Linked DNA regions of Coturnix japonica. The protein of the gene in region 1 binds, or shares a complex with, the protein of each later gene. Links are inferred from orthologs where the notes say so. Each region holds a gene or a part of one and is shown in the gene's direction. Other genes may lie near its edges. The genes, in order: LRRC7 and CAMK2A.

Region 1 (4,328 bases):
GCAAGGGAATGAAACACAACTGTGTCCCTAAAGGACTGTGTGGGGTTTTTGCTTTGCTTTAAATGACAAAGGCAATAAGTGTCAGCTAAGATTAGGTAAGAACTGTGTTATACCAGAGGTGTCAGCACTTCCTGCTTTTTCGGAGTTCTCCGTGATAAATGTGGCAGCTTCAGGAGTCGATCTCTAGAGGTTTCTAAGTTCCCACTTTGGCGACATGAAGCCGGCAGAGGTTTAACTGGAGAGGTTGAAGGAAACCTGGAATTAATAGGAAAGACATTAAAGGCGTTTAGAACATAAAGAAAAGCACAACCTGAAGCCATCCCTTACCAGCAGGGTGTGATAAGATTCTGAGGAGACTCAGGGAATTAAAATTGCTCATTTTTTCCCCTAAGAACATTGATTATCGTTATATAAAGCATACATCAATGATGTTCATGTCAGTACCTGTAGAGCGCCCCGTTATCCTCCAAGCTTTCCGACCCCCACCGCCCTTTGATATCCTCAATGATGTGATTCTTGAGGAACTTCCTCAGCAGTTGCACCGTCTGCTGCCTGCTCACTTCGGGCCCGAAGCTGCTGCTGCTCCTCAGCACCTGGTGCAGCCAGTCCGCAGCTTCGGAGGCGGTGAAGCAGCTGCTGTGCTTCTTCAGGTGCTGCCGGTGCGAGCGCAGCGGCATCCCGGCTCGGAAATACCGGGTGATCTCATTCCACTGCGGGGACACAAAGACACGAAGGTTAAAGCTGAAAGTTGGTAACAGTGAACAGCAGTAAAACAAAGCGGTGGGAGCAAAGTCAGGCTGAAGTGTAACAAATAGGAACGGTGTCAATGCATCGCTTAATAGAGACGTGCAGGCAGCACTCGGCATCTGCAGAGCGGCTGTAAGGAGGAAGGGGGCGGGCCGTGAAGCAGGGGCTGCTGTGATAGGGCGGGGAGGGGGTTTAATGTAGAAAAGGGCAGATTTAGGTCGGACTGAAGGCTCTGTGTGCTCAGGGCGGGGAGGCGGCGGCTGCACAGGGCCCTTCCCACAGCTGCCGTGCCGCCAACAGCCCCGAGCGCGTCACCCTCGCTTAGAGAGGCCTCCATGAACGCAGACCGTCCCCCCGCCGGCCCCTGGCTCACAGCGGGGCCATGGCTCACAGCGGGCCTTGCTCTGCCCCCCGTCCCGTCCCGTCCCGCCCCGTCCCGTCCCGCCCCGTCCCGTCCCGTCCCGTCCCGTCCCGCTCTCACCAGCTCGGTTGCTCGGTACGGACCCGGCGCTGACGGACGCTCCATGGCTCCGCCGGGGGCGCCCAACCGCCGCGCGGTTTGAATTTGCTGCGCGGCCGCTGATTGGGCGAGAGGGCGGGCGCGTGCCCGGAGCGGGACGGCTGCGGCCTGCGGGCGGGATGGAGCGGGGCTGCGCTGAGGGGCGGGACGGGGCGATCCGCCATCGAGGGGCGGCAGAATGAACATCCATCCCTGCCCTTGAGTTGGAATAGAAGGGGATTTTAAGGCATAAATGAGTAGATGGTGGAGGCTGCAGGTGATAACAGCAGCTCCTAAGGAGCAGGGACAGGCAATACGTGTGCACTGTGGAACAGGGCACTGCATGGATCCAAGTCAAGGTTTAATTTCCATCTCTGTCCCTCTGCTAAAGGCACTTTCTAACTGTAAAGGCACCTTCCAATTTTCCCGTGCCTTCATTCACTTCTATTCCTCTTTTCCACGTTCTCACCCATTGCACTGAATGACAAAGACAATACTCAGTTACTCCAGACTAAATTGAATCACTGCTCTGGGTGAGTTTCCTTTGTTATTCATTACCTGACTCCCTGCACAGTCAGTGCTGTATTAGCTGCTCTGCTACGTGCTGAGCATAAGAGTCCTTGAGATGGATGTATCCACACAGCACAGTACTAAGAGTGCTGAGGACCTCCCATGTTATCTGTGAATGTTCTTCTTTCAACTCAGTTAAATTCCCAGGTTAAAAAAAGGAGAGAAGTACGCCCTCCTGATCTGTCAGAACTGGCTGCTGTACCTGGGGGCTCAGAAGAAGAGAGGGCAAGGAAAGGAAGGGCTGAGGGGCTGCTCCTGCTCTGCAGGAGGCTGGGAGGGGTGGCCAGAATAACCCCTGGGTTTTAGGTTTTCATGCACGTCAAGTTTCAAACGTTCAAGTTTTGAGTTTAAGGGGACAGTTTCTATGCTTACAGTGTGCGAAATAAACCTGCCTGATATCGAGTGAAATGAAACAAAAAGCAGGAAGGTGTTTGAGGCTTGAAGGATGCACACTCTTTGAGTTGCTCAGCTGTCTTCTGTGCTACAATTCGGGTCCCAGCTGCAGCTGTTCTCTCTGCTGAGAGTGGGGTCTCTCCCAGGTGTGTTGATTAGCAGAAGTAAGTAATAAGACCATAAAGCTTAACAGCTGCTCTCGTGTCTGGTTCTTGTTGGTAAGGTGCCGAGGTCATTGCAGCAGCCATCCTGATGTTAACCACCAGGACTGTACACCTTCCCTTGGGCCAGGTAGGATAAACATTGCTCAGTTCCTTCTCTTGTCTGGGTGCTGTTCCTCCTGGATGTGCTTTAAGTAGCTGTTCTGTAGTGGGTCACCACAGCGCAGTGATGTTCTGTAGGAGTGGTAAAGAGGAGTCGTGAAGTCTTCAGTGCTGTTTGTTTTTACGGTGATGCAGCCTCTGATCTTGTAGGAGTTTCTTTCATGTTATAACTTAAATGTAAACTCTTCCTAATGCTGGCTCAAATGAAATTGTTACCGAAACACTCTTGGAGCTGAAACAACAAACAAGGGGCGTTTTCTTATTAATATTAACTGCTTTAAAAGACTGAAAGATCTTTCAAGCGGATGGGAGAATTGAGCTTAACAGAATGTAAGTGTTAGTGTCACAAATAGTCATATAACAAATGTTGTCCCACTGTAGGGCGATGTGTGCTGGGAGCCTTTTTGCAAGAGATCCTTTATGGTGCACTAAATACGTGCAAACAGTGGGTATGAAGTTGTGTGATCCCTGGATTTTCAGCCCCACTGAGCTCAGAGCTCAGCTCATTGGGGTTAGTTCCAAGTACCATTTCAAAGGCTGGTAAAAATGTTTAATCTATAATTAACAACCTGGTGCTTGCAACCATCTTAGGAGAAGGCTGCAACTTTAGTGGAAATCTATTTTATTTTTAATAGGCTTTGAAGATACCATGTATGAAAATGACATATTGCTAGTTATTTCAGCTATTATGCTTGAAGTGATTAAGTACTGATACTGTGTGCATCTGAAGGTCTAGTTGTAAATAGAGTCTTTGCAAGCAAAGGCATGAAATGCTCTGGATTCAAGCAATTAATACAGATGGTTTACGGCCCGGGGTGTTTTTTGAAGTAATCCTAAATTAGAACCCTTTTGCTTTGCCTTTCATATATTATTTATTATCCTGCCAAAGGTTCTTTATATACTGGATCATGATATATTCATAAATTCGTGCGCTTTTTTTCTCCCTAGTCATTTGGCTGAAGACTTAATTAAATGGTGGCTGCTCGGTGTAGTTTGGTGCAGGGGGTCAGCTGGGTGCACTTCTTGCTACCTCAGCTCCACAGGAGGAGCTGCTTGCTTTGCTCTGCAGGGGCTGTGTGCTCGGTGAGGGGTCCAGCCCACTTTGCTGAAGCACAGAAGTAACTGAATATCAGTTGCTTACTGCAGCCCTGCGTGGTTCTTCCAGAGTAAGCACACGCAGGCTGTACAGGGACCAGAAATTACAGAGAAACGTCTGTAAGTCGATGGTGGCATCTCCAGCTGGAGCTCCCTGAGGTGCTGGTGGCTGGATCTGACTGAGGAGCGTGGTCTGTCCCCACAGGGCTCTGTGCCTCGTGCACCTGATGCCTGTATGCAAGTCAGCCATGCATTCATGTCCCCCTTGGGCTTCTCAGCTGGGATGAGAGTAACCATGGCTTGGTGTGGCTGCAGGCATGTCAATCTAATGTGCAGATTTGCTGATTTTTCTACCCTGTGGTGTTCTCTTTTCCTTTGCAACATTTAAATGTAAAAAAGTATTTTAGTGTTGATGCTCCCCTCAAAAGTCCTTTGGTTTATGCAATCCGCAAACCCAGTTTTTCAGAAGTACTGAGATGCTTGGAGGGGATTTAAAATTCTCAGCCATCTGGGGAGCAAGAGCTGGATTTTGCCTGTTTTTCTTATTGGTGTGTGCAGTGCTTATGGTTTGCTACATAGATCCTAAAGGTACTTTGGAATCTAACTCCTCTGTGAGTATCTACTGCTTTGGAAATATGAATTAAATGCACTTTTCAAGGGATAAAAGCTGTTCTACATTGTTTCATTATCAGAATTTGCTT
Region 2 (3,647 bases), on another chromosome or scaffold:
GGGGCTCCTGGAGAGAGACGGGGGGTCAGAACCCCCTCCACCCCAAATCTGTCTAGTGCTCAGCTGTTGATGGAAAGAGCTGTGTCTCAGCCTTCGGTGGTCCATGTGGGTCTTGGAAGCACTCTGTTGTATTGTACATTTCTTTCCCTACTCTGCGGTCAGTGTGGTCTCTCACTCCTGCACAGTCCCCTCTTTCTCATCCCAGCTCCTCCTCGCTGTTAATTTGTACATCTCTCTCTATCGTACAGTCAACATGGTGTCTTCCACCCCTGCGCAGCCCCCTCCCATGCCCTCCTAGCACCCTGCCGAGCCACCCCGGACCTGCCCCCACCTCTGTGTCCCTGCAGGCATCGGTACGACAGGCAGCGCCGTGCCTGCAAGACCCTCCCGAGCCCAGTCCACGTTCCCTTGGCTCACGGCCGGGGGGGCTCGGCCAGCGCTGCTGTGCTCGAGCAGTGGTGGAGGACGGGTTGGACCTGCCGGCGTTTTCCTCGGCTGCCGTCCAGTCGCACAGCCGAGAGCTGTGGGGTCGGACTCGGGGGGCTGTCAGACACACAAGATCCTCCTGGTATGGGGAGGAGACTGGGCTCACCGTGCTGTCTCCTGTCTGTTCTTTGCTCAGGAATCGTCAGAGAGCACCAACACCACCATTGAGGATGAAGACACCAAAGGTACGCCAATGGGGGTACACCAATTGGGATACCCCAAGGCCATTAGCCTAGCAGCCCCTAATGGGGTGTTGGCTATGGGAAAGCCCAATGTCAGCACGGTGCCTTGGGGTTCCTTAGTAGCACACTGCCAGCATAGGTGGCTTCACCACTGGGAGTATCTGGGATGTTGCTGGTGAGGAGGGGAGGCTCACAAGAATGGAAACGGATGATACCATCCCTTCCTGTATTCTTGCTGAGGTCTGGGCTCCTTTGAGACCAGTGTCCCTCAGAGGGCTCAGACTCCAGGAGAAATCTCTCCTTCCTGCCCACCAGAATCAGCTTTCTAAGAATAATGCAGGGAATAATTTATCGGTGCCAATTTGTAAAGTCACTTGACTAAGCGATCTCAGCACAACACAGGACCATGTGTGTTAGTTGGGTATGTGTCCTCCCAAGGAAGGGTTCCCAGTGATGCTCTGTGCAGGACAGTCTTCCTTTACATTAGGAATGGCTTTCATGTGTCTTTTCAATAGTCTTAGCGAAAAAAAAACCAAAAACAGTGTTTTTGATTTAAATGTTTATTTTTCTTTAAACCAACAGTACGGAAGCAAGAAATCATTAAGGTGACAGAACAGCTGATTGAAGCAATAAGCAATGGTGACTTCGAGTCCTACACGTGAGTGTGTTTTGTTCTGGGCTGAGCCCAGCATCCCATTGCGAGTGCCAAAGGGCTTTGCTGCCAAGGGCAGGGTGACGTGACAGAGGGACGTGGACACTATGCAAGAGACACAGGGGACGCTGGTTTCCCAACCCCATGCTTTCTCATGCTGAGATGACCACATCTTGTTAGCACAGATGTGCCCATTTTCTGGGCTTGCAGGAAGATGAATAACTGCAAGTGTGATTTATGGTGGAAGAAGGAACATTACATCTGTGGTATCATTACACCCAGACTGCCTCAGGCTGCTTGGAAGCAGAACTGCTCTCTACTCGCTGGGCTGAAGCTCCTCAGAACACACTTCTTCTGTGTCCAAGGCCTATTTAATTAGTGCATCTGAGCGAGTGCAGGTCTGCTTCCCTGCCCCAGAGGACAGCAGCAGGGATATTTTGATACAGAGCAGAGAGAATTCATTTTTCCCTGCTGTTTTATCTCTTACAAAGAAGGCAGCAGTACTTAGGGAGGTTTAAGGGGAGGTGGTGAGTGATGGAGGGACCTGTGTCAATGGGGTCCCAGCTGAAGTTGTGGGGCTGGGAGCAAAGGGTGTGTTGGCTTCCTGTGGGGCCAGGCCAGGCTTCTGCTTGAAGATAGACTGTCTTGCTGGAAGCAATGAGATGATCTCTCCTTTCCCTCTCCCTTTCATATATCCAGGAAGATGTGTGACCCTGGGATGACTGCTTTCGAGCCTGAGGCTCTGGGGAACCTCGTGGAAGGCCTGGATTTCCACCGGTTCTACTTTGAAAACCGTAAGCTGCCCCTTGCCTCCTGAGGAGCCCTTCCTACCTTCCACTATGGCTGGCTATGTCCCTACCTTCAGCAGCTTGCTGAAGAGAGGAGGCAGAAGGTGGCCTTGGGAGCATTTGGGCTGGGCTGGAAAATCCCAGCTGGTGAACAAAGAGCTGTTTGGTTAGAGTCAGAGAATCCAACCCATGCCCACCATGCCCACCAACCATGTTTCTCAGTGCCACATCTCCATATTTACTGCACGCCTCCAGGAATGGTGACTCCAATGCTCCAATTGGCTATTCCAATGCATTATCACGCACTGGAATCAATGCAGAAGAAATTCTCCTAATATCCAACCAGGTGCAACGTGAGGCCATTACGACTTGTCCTAGCTCCCTAGGTTCACCCATCCTGAGCCCATTCTGTCCTCAGTCTTCTAACCCCAGGATCTCCCCTTCCACACTGAGGAGCCACCCAAAGTCCTTCCCCTGCCTCAGTTCACCCCAATTATCCCCTTTCCAGTGTGGTCCCGGAATAGTAAGCCTGTGCACACGACGATCCTGAACCCCCACATTCACCTGATGGGAGACGAGTCTGCCTGCATCGCCTACATCCGCATCACGCAGTACGTGGACGCAGGGGGCATCCCCCGCACTGCTCAGTCTGAAGAGACCCGCATCTGGCACCGCCGGGATGGCAAATGGCAGATTGTCCACTTCCACAGATCTGGCGCGCCCTCTGTCCTACCGCAGTAAGCCCTGTGAGCATCCAGGGACTGCGACTGGGGGCACATGGGGTGGGAGGGTGGGGTCCTATCCTGATCTGTGGTGGGGAGGGGATAGTCTGTGGTCATGAGAGGGCAGTGGGAGAGGGATTCTCTGCTGGAGTGATGGTTGAAGCAACATCCTGCTCTGCTTGTTGGTGTTTTGCAGCTGAAGCACGGTCCAGCCCGTGCTGGGTTTGTCACTGACTGACTGCCAGGGGAGACCCCTCCAACTCTTCACCTACAGGACTTTGGCTGTTGGCTCTGCTGCTTGGTTCCTGCTGGAATAGCCCCTTGCTTCTCACTGCACACATGCAACGGCCTCAGCGGCACCTACAAGCATCCCATCTCCATCCCCTTTCACCGGGTCCCCTTCCTCTGCATGAACGAAGAAAAGAAAAACCATGAACCTACACCTGTGCACTTGTTGCCTACCAGGGCAAAAGCCATCACCCTGGGCTGCATGACCCCCCTGCAGTCCCATACATCCCATGGATTGGGACAGGAATCTTCATCCACCTCCATCTAAATGGCATCTCCCCAAAGAAGAGGAGGTTGTGGGGAGCTGCTCTGTGCCACACACCCTCCACACGCCGGTGGATTTTGCCTTGCTGCTATCAAGGTCCCTGCCCACTGCCCTGAGCTCATGCATCCCGGCAGCCTCGGCTGGGGAACCTGGGTTTTAAACCATTTGCAAAATTCAGCTTCTGTGCATCTTGGGTGAGGAGGGGAATGCGTGGATGGGTGAGTAAGAGTGTCCTGGTGTTTTCTCTTCCCAGGAGGGTAAGTA

What was found.
Region 2: the proteins of LRRC7 (region 1) and CAMK2A are in contact, whole or in part, in a crystal structure (PDB 6X5G), measured with the Homo sapiens proteins. The link is inferred for Coturnix japonica from reciprocal best matches to the Homo sapiens genes LRRC7 and CAMK2A. Residues at the interface, in NP_001357714.1 of Homo sapiens: His843, Gly844, Arg845, Arg846, Pro847, Leu848, Ile849, Arg850, Gln851, Asp852, Arg853, Ile854, Val855; in NP_001350919.1 of Homo sapiens: Glu96, Phe98, Glu99, Ile101, Val102, Lys137, Glu139, Leu159, Phe173, Ala174, Gly175, Thr176, Pro177, Gly178, Tyr179, Leu180, Ile205, Gly209, Tyr210, Pro211, Pro212, Phe213, Trp214, Tyr222, Gln224, Pro233, Glu236.

The regions. Positions count from the first base shown.
Region 1 is NC_029523.1:25,948,082-25,952,409, forward strand, and holds the start of LRRC7 (leucine-rich repeat-containing protein 7), read left to right. Parts: upstream 1-1,402; 5' UTR 1,403-1,779; intron 1,780-2,325; exon of another isoform or gene 2,326-2,432; 5' UTR 2,433-2,500; intron 2,501-4,328. Other genes in the region: DEPDC1 (DEP domain-containing protein 1A), read right to left, coding at 114-255, 445-710, 1,229-1,273.
Region 2 is NC_029528.1:4,858,815-4,862,461, reverse strand, and holds part of CAMK2A (calcium/calmodulin-dependent protein kinase type II subunit alpha), read left to right. Parts: intron 1-622; coding exon 623-671; intron 672-1,250; coding exon 1,251-1,326; intron 1,327-2,019; coding exon 2,020-2,114; intron 2,115-2,616; coding exon 2,617-2,849; 3' UTR 2,850-2,854; intron 2,855-3,026; 3' UTR 3,027-3,647. UniProt on the Homo sapiens protein: Calcium/calmodulin-dependent protein kinase that functions autonomously after Ca(2+)/calmodulin-binding and autophosphorylation, and is involved in various processes, such as synaptic plasticity, neurotransmitter release and long-term potentiation.